4 linked regions of the Nothobranchius furzeri genome follow. The protein of the gene in region 2 interacts with the protein of the main gene of each other region in a pairwise test. Links are inferred from orthologs where the notes say so. Each region holds a gene or a part of one and is shown on either strand. Other genes may lie near its edges. The genes, in order: nfyba, drap1, gtf2b and pole3.

Evidence for each region.
Region 1: the proteins of drap1 (region 2) and nfyba interact in binary tests that used the Homo sapiens proteins (3 or more experiments, as listed by UniProt). The two-hybrid records come from large-scale screens. The link is inferred for Nothobranchius furzeri from reciprocal best matches to the Homo sapiens genes DRAP1 and NFYB.
Region 3: the proteins of drap1 (region 2) and gtf2b interact in binary tests that used the Homo sapiens proteins (3 or more experiments, as listed by UniProt). The two-hybrid records come from large-scale screens. The link is inferred for Nothobranchius furzeri from reciprocal best matches to the Homo sapiens genes DRAP1 and GTF2B.
Region 4: the proteins of drap1 (region 2) and pole3 interact in binary tests that used the Homo sapiens proteins (3 or more experiments, as listed by UniProt). The two-hybrid records come from large-scale screens. The link is inferred for Nothobranchius furzeri from reciprocal best matches to the Homo sapiens genes DRAP1 and POLE3.

Annotation. Positions count from the first base shown.
Region 1 is NC_091741.1:63,172,925-63,176,980, reverse strand, and holds the start of nfyba (nuclear transcription factor Y, beta a), read right to left. Parts: upstream 2,848-4,056; 5' UTR 2,845-2,847; coding exon 2,710-2,844; intron 2,701-2,709; exon of another isoform or gene 2,427-2,700; intron 1,604-2,426; coding exon 1,510-1,603; intron 1,428-1,509; coding exon 1,297-1,427; intron 973-1,296; coding exon 775-972; intron 235-774; coding exon 156-234; intron 63-155; coding exon 1-62. UniProt on the Homo sapiens protein: Component of the sequence-specific heterotrimeric transcription factor (NF-Y) which specifically recognizes a 5'-CCAAT-3' box motif found in the promoters of its target genes.
Region 2 is NC_091754.1:63,718,519-63,722,535, reverse strand, and holds the start of drap1 (dr1-associated corepressor), read right to left. Parts: upstream 2,828-4,017; 5' UTR 2,689-2,827; intron 2,683-2,688; exon of another isoform or gene 2,604-2,682; 5' UTR 2,580-2,603; coding exon 2,538-2,579; intron 2,034-2,537; coding exon 1,961-2,033; intron 1,787-1,960; coding exon 1,693-1,786; intron 1-1,692. Other genes in the region: c14h11orf68 (UPF0696 protein C11orf68 homolog), read left to right, coding at 3,781-4,017. UniProt on the Homo sapiens protein: The association of the DR1/DRAP1 heterodimer with TBP results in a functional repression of both activated and basal transcription of class II genes.
Region 3 is NC_091751.1:71,403,562-71,407,125, reverse strand, and holds part of gtf2b (transcription initiation factor IIB), read left to right. Parts: intron 1-336; coding exon 337-483; intron 484-3,292; coding exon 3,293-3,422; intron 3,423-3,564. UniProt on the Homo sapiens protein: General transcription factor that plays a role in transcription initiation by RNA polymerase II (Pol II). Involved in the pre-initiation complex (PIC) formation and Pol II recruitment at promoter DNA.
Region 4 is NC_091749.1:66,564,626-66,568,795, forward strand, and holds pole3 (DNA polymerase epsilon subunit 3), read right to left. Parts: upstream 2,733-4,170; 5' UTR 2,545-2,732; coding exon 2,479-2,544; intron 1,659-2,478; coding exon 1,573-1,658; intron 1,442-1,572; coding exon 1,323-1,441; intron 1,007-1,322; coding exon 837-1,006; 3' UTR 524-836; downstream 1-523. UniProt on the Homo sapiens protein: Accessory component of the DNA polymerase epsilon complex. Participates in DNA repair and in chromosomal DNA replication.

The sequences.
Region 1 (4,056 bases), on a different chromosome or scaffold from region 2:
GTACACCATGACGTTCTGCTGCTGACCATCTGCTGTGATGATCCCAGCAGGAAGTGGGTTTGCTGGAGAAAAGGAAGAAATGTTGGAGCAATTCAAGGACAAACACGATGAGGAATTTAAAAATGTTTGCCAGAAGTTTCATCTGCATCACTTACTGAAGCTGTCCTCTGTGAGGTCCTCACCCAGGCTTTCCCCCACTGACACCCCTGGGATGCCCTTTTCTCCCTTCATGGCCTGAGAGGAGAACAAAAGCATGGAAACGTGACTGGGTACAGAGACGAGTGGACTGAAATCCACCTCAATTTATTAATCCAACAATTGGTAGTGGAATCAGATGAACATTTTTCTCTGTACTTTTATGTGTCAGAAAGACATCAGCTGAGCTGTAGGATGGATTTTAATAATAATAATCAACATCAGACCTAAATCTGATTATCTTAAGAAGACAATGTAAGATGCACCTGACCACCATTAGCAAACAACGACTCAGCTCTACAGACACTGAGCTAAATGTTGTTATAACAAAGCTGATGTTATTTTAAGGATATGACCAAAACGACACAGTCATTTTATTTTATATGATATTTAAAACTTTGTGAAGAAAGGTCAAAGAGTCATAAGTACTCTGAACACTTCTGGACCAAAACCATGCCTTAAATTATAAGACCTGCTCTTATTCTTAGAAAATTATTTGTTTCTGTGCAACAAAAGTAAAACTACATACAAAATAGTTTTTATTTCATACAGCAGTGTGTATAGAGATTGTGTTGTCACCTCTCTGAACTTCTGCAGGTAGAGCTTTAGTGGATCCACATACATGTCAAAGCCCAGTGTCGACATGGCAAATAGGATATCCTCCCCATTGATGGTCTTCCTCTTCTCCTGGTGGCAGCGCTCGCTCGCTTCAGATGTGATGAAACTGATGAACTCACTCACACACTCCTGCACACACTCTTTGGCATCTTTTGCAATCTGTTAGGAGTAAAAAAAAGATTAAAATAAATTTAAATGTATGAACTTTAACTCCTAAAGTGAAGTGAAGCCCTCAAGAAGCATTAAGTCCCCAGTTAATTACTTAGCATCAGTCCCAGAATGATGGATGGAGGCTAAATGGTTTCATTCATATAAAAATAACAGTGGACCTATGATTTCTGCAATAGGATATTGAAATCAGATTCTATATTAAAACATGAAAACTTTAGTACTTTGTTTAAAAAAAGAATTTGGTGAAAAACAAATCAGATTCTGTCAATAAGAGCCTTTTCCTGATGATTCCTCCTCTCCTCTCTTACAAACCTTCCCGGTCTGCGGAACAGCATTCTTCATGATGCGAGCTACGTTGGCGATAGGAAGGTAGATGTCCTGCTCCCTGTAGTTCTCCTTTATGCCGCCATCTTCGTGATCATTTAAATTCTCCTCTCCATCATCTACAAAACAGACACAAATTTAGTCTTAAAACCCAGGGAAAAGAAATGATGGTGATTTTAAACTGGTCCTTGTCCTACTAACCATCCTGAGACTGGAGAACATAGTGACTGGAAGCCATGTATTCTCCAGTGATGCCCAACTGAGAGGCATCGGTGGTTGCACTGTCTCCATCCATCTGTAACACACATACTTAGGTTTTGCCTAAAATGAAACTTATTAGAAAAAGGCTCCAGATGCCAACATCTTGAAGCCAGCCATGAATATTTCCTGTTTCAGCTGCAGGAAGTGATTGATGTAAGTTGGCAGATCAAAGCCACTTAAACATAGACTGTTAGTTGCTTAATAATCATAGACTGGTTTTGACAAACATTGGCACGTTTTGTGCTCAGCGCTGACGTCATGTCCTGAGAAGGCTGACAGTAAGGACTTTCAAAATACAAATTACAAAACCATCTCTTTGTATTTTTAGTAAAACTTTGATCAAACACACACGGAGACTGAACCTGCTGGTCTGTTTTCCTGCAGCTCATTTGGCGCAACTGAAAATGTGTCCGCCGCTGAATTTAAGCGGTTTTATTAGTTCCGCTTTAAAAAATATCATACTCCCCAGTATTGTTAAAATAAATGTTTAATCAAATTTAAACCTCAAACTTACGTAAATATAAACCCCTTCATTCATGCTACTAGCGGAAATTGCCGCTATATTCAGAAAAACCCTCAAGCAGCCTCGACATTGTGGTCGCTGGCTAGCTGAATTGGGTCATGTCGTCTGTTAAACAGCAAGTAGATGATTTTAGTGACATGTAAAATGTTTAACTGTGGTGATATGATGTGTTTGGTCACTGTGTGGCTACAGAGCAGACGTCAGCTGGGGGTATGTGGGACATTTAGCTAACGCTAGCTAATGTTAACCAATAACTAGCTTAGTGGATTTGAAATTATGTAGAAAGCCAATAATTTCAGCATGATGAGCAGAGACTGTCCTGGAGGGACTTTACCTTTTGGAGATAACCTTAGAGGCATAATGCCCTTCGCATTAATTCTCATCGTAAATCCACTGCAGCACAATCCTGCAACGGCCTGCTCTTTTGTCGTGCACAAGCAGAGCAAGACGTAGCCGGGCCGAAATGTTTACACAAATTTTAAAAGTGCATTCTTCCTGATGAGCAGCCTTCATTCACTCAGACAACAAATGAAAAAAAAAATCAGTCAGAGACGGATATTTCCATTCGAGCTAACGAGGAATCGGTTAGCAATCATTGGCCGGAGCCAAACACAAACCTGCAATGAAGCCCTGGTTGGTTCCCTCCCTGAGACGGCTGTTTGGTTGGACAGAAAATGGCTGCGAAAGGACCAGTCCCAGCGCGGAGCCGCGGCCGCATTACCACAAATGACCAGGAGAGGGACGTGCTGCATTCCAGGACCTCCCGGAAACCTTAGGATCACAGAACTGAAAGCTGGTTTAAAGGCTCGTACATTTTAAGGTAACAACAGTGTCAAACCTATGAGTTGTGAGGAGGATTATTTTTGTGGTGGTAGTAGACTTTCCAAATGTTAAAAATAACACAAGTGGGATCATATCGTTCATTTTAATTCCCCCCCTACCAATCAACTGTTGTTGCATACATTCCCACTTTCTTAGTGACACTGAAATGCAACTGTCCAAACGTCAAAATATGTCATTTTTTTACATAACTAGTCATGCTCTCTCTAGTCTCATTTAAATTTAAGTTATTCATCGTAAAAGCCTCCAAACTGTGTCCCCCAACAGAATCGTTAATGTTTTTATTTTATTTTATGAAATGTAATTGTTGTTGTATTTTTTTAACAAATATTTGCATTCAGAACATCACAAACATTTTAAAGAACATCAAAAGAACATGAAATTTGCTCACATATTATCAGGGGTTTATAACACAAACAACTAGCTGAGATATGATTTATATAAACCAAAATGAGGAGCATATATTGAACGTTTTGATTGCTTTTGCATTGTGGCTATGCTGAATTCTGGTTTTCCCGAAAAGAGCACCTCAGGTTTACAATTTCTTCAAAATTCAGCAGCACGTGTCCAAGGAGAAGACCAAGATGCAGGAGCACGTTAAACCCGTCTGCATTAGCTTCCCATACGTTTCAGGATCGATTTGAAGGTTCTTTTAATGTTTTTTAAATGTCTTAATGGTCTTGGGCCTTCTTATTTCTCAGAACTTCTTCTGAAATACGAGCCTTCGCGGCCCCTGCTCTCCTCTGGCAGCCGTCTCCTTGTTATACCCAAAGTCAGGACACACTCCCAAGGCGAGGTGCCCTTATATATTACATAATGTTTACATATTTTATTGTTGCTTTCTACTTGGTTATCTTTTATCAGTGTGTTTTAATTAGAATTTAATTAATCCAGTGTTCATGCTAAATTTGATATTTGATTTGTTATCTTAATCTCTTTAGGTTTTATCAGTGTTTCCTCTGTGAGGGCCAACTGCCCCGGGAGAGGCGGTCTGCCTGGGTGCTTCTTGTGCCTCCTCTTGGTGCCGTGTAGTGATGCCCGGGCTGCTGCTGCTGATCCTGGTGCATTTGGCTCCTTTTGATGACATTTCCATCTTCTTTGTTGCCTATTGCATCTGTACTCAG
Region 2 (4,017 bases):
TACTAATTATTTCCTGTCTTAATATCAGTAAACTTTTCACTCATGAAAAAAATGTGAGCAAAATGTAGGCTATAAACAAGTAATAAATGAAGTTTTAACCCCTTAAAGTGGAGAGGTCCTGGCGACCCAATGAGAGGCTTTGGCGCCCCCTTGTGGGGGTCGGGACCCCCAGGTTAGGAACCACTGGTGTAGATGATCCACAAGGCCTTTGGGAAACATTCTGCTCTGATGAGACAAAGGCAAAACGTTGTAGAAGGCTCCATCTAGAGTAAAACTAGCGCTAGAATATTGTAACAGTCAGACATAGAGGTGGCAGTGTGATGGTCAGGGGCTGCTCTGCTGCATCAGGACATGGGCCACTTGCTGTAACTGGAATCAGCTCTCCTGAAGGACAACATCTGACCTTCGACCTTAAACAGGTCATTCATGCTGGAAACCCTTAGCCTAGTGAACTAGACCAAATTCTTGCTTTGCAAAGTCCAGGCACGCTCCACTGGGACCTCCGCAGCTCCTACCAGGACTCTGGCTGGCCAATCACAGCTCTCTAGAGGGGTTTCAAACACATAAAGAGCTGTGATTGGTCCATAATGGTGGGCCAATCATAGTGCTCTATCTGCTTAGTGAACAAATCAGAGAGCTTTATCCACTTTGTGGGCCAATCAGGGCACTCTATATGCCTGGTGGGTGGGATGATGCAACAGAGTGAAACAAGAGGATGTCACATTCTTTGTCCAGTGGAATGCGGAGATCATTTGGAAGACAACGGTAGAACCCGCCCCACAACCGAGAGCCGTCAATGGAGCGTGGCCAGACTAAATAATACATTTATTTAGTCTGGCTTGCCAGGCTAGGAGACCCTCCCAACGTGGCTGAATTATTATTACTGCATAACGACAAAACTCCTCCACAGTCATGCAGGACTCGTTACCAGTTATATCATAGACACTTGACTGCAGATGTTGCTTCAGAGTGTATCAACCTGTAGGATCAGGTTGGTTTACACAGATTTTGTTCCCTTAATTAAATAATCATTAGAAAACTGCATTTTCCATTTATTCTAGTTAACTTTGTCTGATGAGGATGCTTCTTTGCTAATCTGTTTTTTTTTATGTTTAAAGAGCAAGTCACCCCAAAACCACTTTTTTTTGCTGATAAATTGAGTGTCTAATCGTGCTGCACAGACATGGAGTCAATATTTTGGCCCTTTAGTGCATCTTAGTTCAAATTTAAATAAATATTCTGCTTAAAACCGTCAGTATTGAATCGTCTTCAGATAAAAACTCTGCACTGCATTTGAATTTAAATCTGCCATCGCTATGGGCTAAGAGGTACTCCATGACATTAGCTGGTACATTATGATGTCACAATGTCTGTGAGAATGTGTGTGTATTTATTAGCGGCTCCGCCCTCTCGATCTGCTAGACAACAGCACTTGCATTTTTTAAACAGGGAGTGGAGTAAGACTCTGGTAGGGGGTGACTTGCTCTTTAAATGTTTCAAAGACCTGAGGGGCAGATACTTTTTACAGCACTTGATAAAAGTGAGTATTATAGATAAATGAGGGGGCTGACATTCAACCCTGAAGTGCTGTAACAGTAAAAACAACAATGAATCTTTAAATCTGAATATTTTTTTATGTTTACATGTAAAATAACACACTAATAAAAGGTTTGACTCAAACACAAGACTTACAGATGTGATGTTGTCATAGTCTTTGCATTCCTCGACTGGGTGACGTGACAAGCCTTTGTAAGCAAAGACTCCAGAAAGAGTTCAAGAGCTCTCGCTGATGACTCAGTGAAGGAAACATCAACAACAGCATAAATGCTTATGATTCTCTTTAAAATGATTTTTTCATCAAAGATATTACAGAGATTCAAAATGCTTTGTAGTTTGTACATGACTGTACAAGTAAAAGCAACAATTCGCAAATATCCAACCTTTACAGAAAAAAGGATACAGATAATAACAGGAACTGCTGCAGCCACTTTGCCGATTTCTTCGTCTGTCTGCATAATCTTCTTAATTCTTGCCTAAAACAAAAATAAATGTTATTTTCTGTATGTCTTAAAGCAGTTTTTTCTCCTCATTACTGTAAAATCGTATCACAGACTAACTGTTAGCAGAACATTAAAAACAGCTCAGTGAAGAACCCAACCCCTCAGTTCATTTATTTACATATGTGTTAACTTTGTTATATGCAAGTCCATATGCAGGTAAATAATAAGTACAAGAACTCTATCATAGAATTTCTGCATGTATAATTTACCATGTCGGTGGTAGGCAATGCTAAAAACAACCAAAGTCAAGTCGAACGACTGATGTCTCAGCAAATAAATATATACATGAAAATAGCTTTTTTAGCTGATTGAGGGAAACCTACAACCTGTAAGTGGCTAAGTTGTAGTTCAGTGAAAAACATCAGGGATGCTAATTTGGTTTTCCATTCCATTAGACCAAATAAAGCCCGAATCTCCTGAAGCTAACCACAACTAGCTGCTCCTGTTTGCTCGTTTCAAATGAAAGTTTTGACTCACCGGAGGAAATCTGGCGTTGTACTTCTTCTTTTTGCTGGGCATAGTTAAACAACCTGGGAGGATAAACTACAAAACAAAGTATTCAGGATTATATTCGTATATCATATGTGATTCAATCCAACCGCACATACAACAGATATTGGTAGCTAACCGGCTAACTTGTTAGCACGTCGTCAGTCGTTCCTTGGTGCTCCTCCGCAAACAGGTCCGGTCACTTTGGTTCCGCTAACTTCCAGCGAACACTGTGATGCTAGCATTTTAATCTGAGCGTTCCACGTATTAATTAGTTGAGATATGTTTCATATATTAATGTTTAAAGACCATTATTAGTACGAATAGTTCACTAAGATAATGGGCATTCTATTGGTATTTGCCTGAAAGCTAAGTTTTCTCTTTTGCAGTCGGGCGACAACAGCTCTGCCCAATGCGCATGAGCGAAAGTGCAGCGCCTTATGAAAAACCGCTGCAGCTAGCCAGTTGGCTAGCAGCAACTAGAAGGAAGTAGTTCGGTTGTTTTCTTTCATGTTACTGCAAACAGGAGCTGCTAACAGTCGTCCGAATGGGGAACAATCTGTAGAACAAGCAGGGTTTTGGTAAGATGCTTTAAATATGTAGTAAATTATGCTAAATGTGGTCTGTTAGTTGGCACCGCTGAATCTTATAGGCCAGATGGGTCAAACGTTATAAACTTGGTCAGAGTTCAGGGTCGATAGCGGAAGAGATGTTTTATAATGTTTTTGTGGTTTCTTATTTAAGTGAGATTTCTAGAAAATTAATATATCGTATTATTTTCCTTAACGTATTGTATTAAACATTTACCAAATGCTTTCACGACTGTTTAAAATCCCTCGATGAAAATAAAAGTACGCAAATTTAAATATTAATTTTTAAAATGTTAGGAGAAGTAAAAACTGCTAGTTGAAGACGAGCCTGTGTTGCCAGATAAAAGCCAGAGCCACAAACCCAACATCGCTGGGGCTTCAATCAAACTACTGTACTGAGAAGTCCAAACCTCCAAGTTTGTTATGTTTCTAATCAAATGAGCAGAGTTCCTTAGGGCGGCTCCAGACTGGTAGCAGTGCTCTGTCCTGATGCATTCTGGGGCTTGTAGTTTTAGTGGTAATTTGAACTACAGTACCACAGGCCGTGTGTTTGTGTATTCAAACATGTGAGGTGTTTTTAAAGCCAGACTGTTTGTTTCCACTCAGCAGAACAAACGACTGGATTCGTCCACTCTAAAAGCATGATGGAGGGAGAAGGAGCCCCTGTAGATGGAGAGGGGGAAACCCCGTTCATGGCTGAGGCCTTTGCCGCTGAGGCCATGGCTGCAGACATGGATCCCTGGATAGTTTTTGACTCCAGAAGAACTCCCAGATCAGAGTTTGAAGGCTGGCTGGAGAGTAACAGACCCTCGCAGGTGTACAGGTTTGGTGCTGAGGAGGAGAGTGGCTGCCGGGTGGGGTGGATCGCTGTTCTCGGG
Region 3 (3,564 bases), on a different chromosome or scaffold from region 2:
CCCGAGATGTTGAACGACTTCATTAAATCTTCTTAAAAGTTTTGCCCGTTAACGTTGTTCTAAGAACTGTTGTGACTGAAGAGCTTTTGGGGGACGGCGTGGTGTGTCAGACGTGTTTCTGATTAGGAAAGCACATATCTGCCATCTTCTACTCATCAATGAAAACTAATCCATATGAGATCATCGTGATGCACCGAGATATCGAATCGTTGACCCGATAATCGTAATCGAGTCGGGAGACTAGTGAAGAGTCGCACCTCTAGTATCTATGCAGAGCCCACGGTAAACATCTGCACTGGCTTCTTTATCTGATGAAGCTCTACGTTTCTCCTCCAGGGAACTGGTGCTGCCAGCTTTGACGAGTTTGGGAACTCCAAGTATCAGAACCGACGGACCATGAGCAGCTCTGACCGGGCCATGCTGCACGCCTTTAAAGAGATTAGCAACATGGCGGACCGGATCAACCTTCCGAGGAACATCGTAGTAAGTTCACAGCAACACCGGCCTTATTGACTCAGCTGACAGGATTCATTAGAGGAGCTCATCGGCGTAACTCGGACCGACGCAGCTCTGCCTGACCGATGTTCCCAAGGGCATGGTTCGGTATCTTCCCTCTACTTTCTCCCCTGTTTTTAGTCCCTTCTCTGTTGAGGTACCTGGCTGAGTCTGGCCAGCATCGTGATTCTGGCTGCTGATTGGCTAGGGGGCGGAGTCACAGGCCTTGTGTTTCACTGCCTGCAGCCATTTCCTGGTTCAGACAAAAAGCCATGAAACTGAGCTAAATGTCCAACAACGCCACCATTTTTCAGCCGAGTTCTTTCTGTGAAGCAGGCAGGTTACCTTACACTGTTTACTGATCACCTCATGTTATTTTGTCACGAGTAAAAACCACGCCCCCCCTCTGCACCTATGAGGGGCCTTTCTGTTATGAAGCTGGCATGAAAACAAAACTACACTCAGGTGGGCTGACTCGAACCACGCTGTACAGAGCTGTTTTAGGCTGAGTGGTGCTCCTGGAAAACCACCTTTAGTGTCAGTCCAGTGTTTCAGTGCAGATCCCACACACCTGAACAGGTAGAGCTATGGCCTTCAGTTCTGTTAGGTCATTATGAGGTTCTGTAGTCATAAAATGATAATGGTAAAAACTCATGCACATGCTGTTTCTGCTCCTAGTTTGTGGTGTGCAGGAACTCAGCAATGCTGCACAGAAACCAACTTCACTCGTGGATATTCCGTAACCGTTATTTTTCACGGAGAACGCCCGCGGATCCCTCTTCTGTCGGCATTCTAGGAATCGAAATAAAAAACTTTGAATGATTCCGGGAAAAACTAACAGTTGGAACCGGTTCCAATCGATGCCCAACCCTAAAAGACATTATCGGAGCACATTAAAGTGAAAGTGAACGGACGTGCAGCAGAAGCAGCAACAATGACCGGGACTGCTTTGTTTCCACCTAGGAAGTGCTTCAACTCTCCCATGAAGGAGTATTTTAGACTCCCAAAGCTGCTAAAAGAGAAATGCAGATGGCTGGGTCATCTGCAGAGCTGGCAGAAATTTATCATCTCGGACATCATCACACAGATTACCTCCACCTGAGTGAGATTACCAAGCCTTTTATTGTTTCTAATATTGATGATTTTGGCGTTCAGCTCATGAAAAACCAAAATTCCTATCTAAAAAAATTAGCATATTTAATCCGACCAATAAAATAAAAGTGTTTTTAATACATAAAAAGTCAGCCTTCAAATAATTATGTTCAGTTATGTACTCAATACTTGGTCGGGAATCCTTTAGCAGAAATGACTGCTTCAGTGCGGCGTGGCATGGAGGCGATCAGCCTGTGGTACTGCTGAGGTGTTATCCAGGTCCAGGAGGCTTCGATAGCGGCCTTAAGCTCATCCAGAGTGTTGGGTCTGGCGTCTCTCAACTTTCTCTTCACAATATCCCACAGAGTCTCTACGGGGTTCAGGTCAGGAGAGTTGGCAGGCCAGTTGAGCACAGTAATACCATGGTCAGTAAACCATTCACCAGTGGTGTTGGCACTGTGAGCAGGTGCCAGGTCGTGCTGAAAAATGAAATCTTCATCTCCATAAAGCTTTTCAGCAGATGGAAGCATGAAGTGCTCCAAAATCTGGAAGTTTCAGAGCCGCAGTTCCTCGTGGAGTCTTGAATCTGCTGGTTAAAGGTTGGTTTATGCTTGACGCGTCCGCGAGGTTCGCACGGCTCCACGCGGAAAAGTTGCGTCATTTTAACAACCACGCCTCTCCTCCGCACGACCCAGAATTTCCGCAACGCGCACCTCGGAAATTTTCTAACCACGCGGACGGTCGGACGCGGAAAAACATGGCAGACCGGCAAGAACTAGTATGGCAGAGGTTGGTAAATACAGACATGTGTATGATTCAGCTCTCAGAGATCACCGTGATCACCATGTTGTTAATAATTCTTGGAGAGAAATAGCTCGCACTGTCGGAAAAGACGAGGACGCTGTTAAAAATGCTGGAATGCCATGTTGTAAACAGTAATTTCTACTTCTACTATGGTGTAGTGTTGGATGCATGCCGTAGAGCTCCATGCTGCCCCCTACAGTTTGGGAGAATATTGGCTCACCGCAGAGACAAGCCGCATGAACCATAAACGCTGCGAGTTGTGAAGCGCGTTCCATCCGCGAGCCGCATCACCGCGCGGAACGTGAATGCGTCAAGCATAAACCAAGCTTCAGGGTTAGGAGCCAGGAGCAGCCACTGTTGTGGACGCCGTCTCACCTTCGTGCCCCTCCCGCTGTTGACTGCCTCTGCTGTGTACTGCGGTGGGCTTCAGCCAGACCTGAACCTTGCTTCTGAAACCCGTCTTGTGATCACTCACTTCTGCGCACCACACACTACGGAGCAAGCAGACACACTCCTTGAAGTAAAATCTTGCCGTCCAACCTGGACAAACCTCACCCACGCTCCAAATGGAAGTCCATGAAGTGCTGTCCAGACAGACGGGAGTTGGAACGACCTCCACATGAATAAACTTTCATCATTTGGACTGATTTTGATGCTTTTGTGAGCTTTACGCTAACGCTGTGGTGACCGACTCAGCTGTCCTGCCCCTCCTACGTCACGCCGTCAGTGACACAAATGAGCTAGATTTTTGTTGAAGCTGCAGACGAGTGACATCATCTGAGTTATTAAACACTGAAAAGTTGATCAACTTGGTTTTTCACCCAACAGAACGATGTTTGTGATTTTAAACACCTGTAGAGGTGAACATCCAGCTGACACGCTGTGTGGCTCTCCTCTCCAGGACAGAACAAACAACCTGTTCAAGCAGGTTTACGAGCAGAAGAGTCTGAAGGGCCGAGCCAACGACGCCATCGCCTCCGCCTGCCTCTACATCGCCTGCAGACAGGAGGGGGTGCCCAGAACCTTTAAAGGTCAGATAAATACTTATTTCCTCTTCAGGTGTCCAGACATCCCTCGTTAAATGAGAGTTGGGATGCATTTAGTTTGGGGACCTGATCTTCTCAGGGGTGAAGGTTTCCTGCTGCAAGTTCTCAGGTGTTAATGTCTCTAAAA
Region 4 (4,170 bases), on a different chromosome or scaffold from region 2:
CTTTGTCTTAAAATGTTGGAGCATTAACTAATGTCCTAAAATGAACTTTTGTTGGAAAATGAGCATTTCAGATGTTCCTGCGGCGATGGATTGTGTGTAATACCTTCCACCCAAGTCTGCGTCACTGCAGGCTTGGGTGAAGTGCGGATCAAGGGTGCAAAGCGGGCGTGATCGGCTTTCCCATTGAGAATTGACGCCTCACACACCTGGGTCAGTATTGAGCTAGTGTGGCAGTGTGAGTATTGGGGTTGGGCCAATATCAGGCTGTTTGGACCATTGAGGTGGACCTGCTGTTAATTTTATCGTTTTATTTTTTTTTTGTATATTTATGTCGATGGTTTGGACATGGTGCTTAAGGTAACTCCTGGTCATGTGGTTAGATGACTTCTGTGTGCTGAAGGGTCCAAGGTCACTGATCCTTGGAGGGTTCCTGAACTGTGTTGTAGAGGAACCTTCTTCCTCAGGCCCCTGCTGTGGAGGTAACCTGCAACAGGAAGACTTCCTGTCTGATCTGAGACAAATCTGAAGGTTTCATTACAAACTTTTATTGAAGGACTTTTGTAATAAATGACTACAACAGTACAAATGGTAAAGAAAAAAACTGGGATTTCATTCTAAAACAGAACCCAGTGAAAGTCTTCACTCTGATATCAGAGGTCCAAAATCAACCACAGAAGTTTGAGGGGAACCTACGAGTCAGAATGGATGGTGACCTGGTGCAGGATCAAAAGTCTCAAACGTTAGGCCCATAAAGAAACGGGCCGACTGTTTCCTGCGAGTTTGGACGGGTGTGTGTCCGGTCTAACATCAGCTACCCAAAGATGTGGGTGGAGTCCTCAGTTCTCCACCTCCTCTTCAGGCTCCTCCTCCATGCATTGCTGCTGCTCCTCTTCATCAGCCTCGTCATCCTCTCTGCTCTTGTCATTCTCAGAATCAACCTTTTTTTCTTTATCTTTGCGTTTCTGCTCAGAAACCTCCTTCTTTCCCTTCTGGTCCTTCTTATAGACTGTGGAGAACAAAGACATTGTTAGCTGGTCCGGCTGCTGGAACACCTGGAAGCTTCAGCAGGAACTTGAACCTGATGGCTTTTCTGTGTTTACTCAGGGGTGAAAAAGTTCCTATCGACACAAAAAAAAAAAAAAAAATCTGATAAGAAAACCACATTTACAAGAATGCTGCGTTTACGGTCCGTCCAGAGTGGGAAATCCAAGGAACTGGCCTTGGAACCCCATCATGATTCGGCATTCCGACAGAGCCAGCCTCAAACTGGATCTGCTGCCTGCTGATGTCTTCTGACAGACTATTCTTAATGATGTTCTCACCTTCCAGAGCTTCCCTGAGAGGCTCCATGAACCGCTCGAACTCCATCTCCTCCATGGCAGCCAGAACGTCTCCCGCGTTCAGAGTTTTCCTTTTAGCCTTCATGGCAAAGTTGTTCGCACTGCAAGGAAAAAGGAAACTGGCTTGAGGAGCGTTGACGGGAACCATCCAGGTCTTTCTGCTGGGTCACAAATGTGTTAAAAGCTTGATCTTGTGAACAAAAATGCAGTTTTATTGGCTTTTTTTCCTCACCAGGAGGTTGCATACAACACAAACACGCTGGCTGCCTGAGAGATGGCTCTGCGAGCTTCTTTGGACACGTTCACCCCATCTGGGAGCTGTGAGAAACAAACGGTGCGGAGGAGTTATCTCAGAGCTTCACTCTGGAGTCAGAGCCAGCTCGCAACTGCTCTTTTTCACTCACAAAAAGCTAATTCACACATGAACGTGTCAAAACGTTTAAAAATGACCAAAATCGTTCAGATTCATCATCAAAACACTGAACTTTATCAGATTTATTTAGAGATGACTTATAATTAAAAGGTCTTAACTCCGGAATAAATATGAAGTACTGATAATTTTCTCATTTCAAACAAACGGAATCTGAATGTTATTTTTGATTCAGACTCATTTTGAATTTGAGCAGATTTTTTTTTCCTTTTAAATCAAAATGCAGCAATTATTAGATCAGAATCTAAAACCCCAAATCTGATTTTTATTGCTTTTTTTTTTTTTGGTCACTGACTATAAAATGGTTTTGTTTTCTAGAACATGACAAGGGCAAGTAAAATTGTATTTTGTAGACTTTTCTTGAAGCTGGTGAAATCCAGGAGGGACTGGTTAACCCTGGTTACCTTTAATTTCTCATCCTTCTTACAGATCTGTCATGTTTGAAGGGCCAGTAGCCTGAAGGCAATTATCTCCATCTCCGTGGGCTGTTATTAGAAACAGTACCCTCAACCAGAGGAGATCTGATGAACCAAAGCTCTAAGAGCCAAACCGTGAACGTCTCTGGTTTCATGTGACGTCACCAACACCCACAACAACTGTAAACTGGGACTGAATGAACACACAGCTGATCTGTGGTCTGTTTAATCCGGACAGTGGGTGGAATCAGACGGTAACCGGTGGAACCCGGACCCGGCGGGTTTCACTCACCGCCTCCTTGATGATGCGGGTGATCACCGCGTTGGGAAGATTTAGGTCTTCGGGCCTTTCCGCCATTTCTCCCGAACCACTCCGTTTCCCCCCGGTCGAGTCTCCGGTAGATGTCAGCGCGCGTAGTTAACGTGACTCGAATCCCTCGTTCTAACGTGAAAAGCTCGCGCGCCGCTGCTCAAACCGTCGTTTGTTTCGGGACGTTTCCCGCGAAGCTTTCAACCACCACAAGTCCGCCTGCGTCAACGATGAACTTTGACCTTGATGCGAATGACGTACTTCCTGTCTTGAAAACTAAAAGTACCAGCCAACATTTTCAATAACAGTCTGCAGCTAGACGTATATATGTCGATGAGCTAGACCTTGGAGGAGGAAACGTCAGCGTTTATTTATTTTTTTACTTTATTTAACAAACAATGAGTATACAACATAGAAACGAATGAAGTATACAAAACAACAGAACATGAACACACAAAGCCAGAGGTAAAAGAAAAAAGTAACAATTATAAGAATACACGCAAAAATTCACATATATATTGTTTTGAGAGCTTTTTTTGTTGGTGGATTCTGATATTGATTTTATGTACAATTCCACATGCTTAAAAATGACAGAAATTTGGTGTTTTGTTAGTAAACTTACATTTATGAATAAAGAATTTAGCTAAAAGTATTAACAGATTTATCATAAAAAAAACATTTATCATTCTTCATGGGGAACTTAAAGAAACAGAACAAAACATCTTCCCATCGTAAAGAAAACTCCCTTAAAATATGGACAGTAACAAACCTGCTAAATTCCTTCCAGAATCTTTGTGTAAAAGAACAGCACCAAAAAAGATGTGTCACAGTTTCTGGATGATCCCCACAGAAAGTACAATTAGTGTTTATGACCCTTTTAAATTTTACCATGTAATGACTGGCTGGATAACATTTATGTAGAAGTTTAAATGAGACTTCTTTCACCTTATTTACAATAAAATATTTCTGGGGGATCATCCAGACTGTCTTCCACTTGATATCTGGAACATATCGGTTCCAATAAGATATTATATACGGGAGAGAGACGATATCTTTCTGTAATAAACTACGTATTCTCTTATTGCTGTTACCAAGTTCTAGAGAAAAGCAGATTTTTCCTATTGGTGACTCAACTGGATTAGGGAGAGTGACTGAGGTAGATATTGAGCTGTCAGTGTTTTTATATAACATTAAAGCCCCTGAGGGTATGGCACCAAGCACCATTGACAATTCCTGAACACTGATTGGGAAATTATATAGGGCAATAAAGTCGATGTAAGTAAGTAGTTGTCCCTCTTTATTAACCAGCTGAGCCACCAATAGGATCCCATTCTGGACCCAAGTTTCCAGGAAAAGTGATTTATTTTTAAATAAAATATCTCTGTTGTTCCAGATAAGATATTTGTGAGGTGAGAAGTTGTGTTTATAAATGAGGGTCCACGCTAAGAGGACTTGCTTATGGAAGGGTGAAAGTTTTATAGGGAGTTTCTCAACATTGTAATTACAATTTAAAATAAAATTAAAGCCACCAAAACAAGAGAAAATATGATATGGTATAAGGTTCCAGATAGAGGTATGGTTTTTAAGAAAATGTTTAGCCCAGTTAATTTTGAAAGTGTTATTTAAAGTAGAAAAGTCTAGGACGTTAAGCCCTCCTGATTCGTACTTATTCAT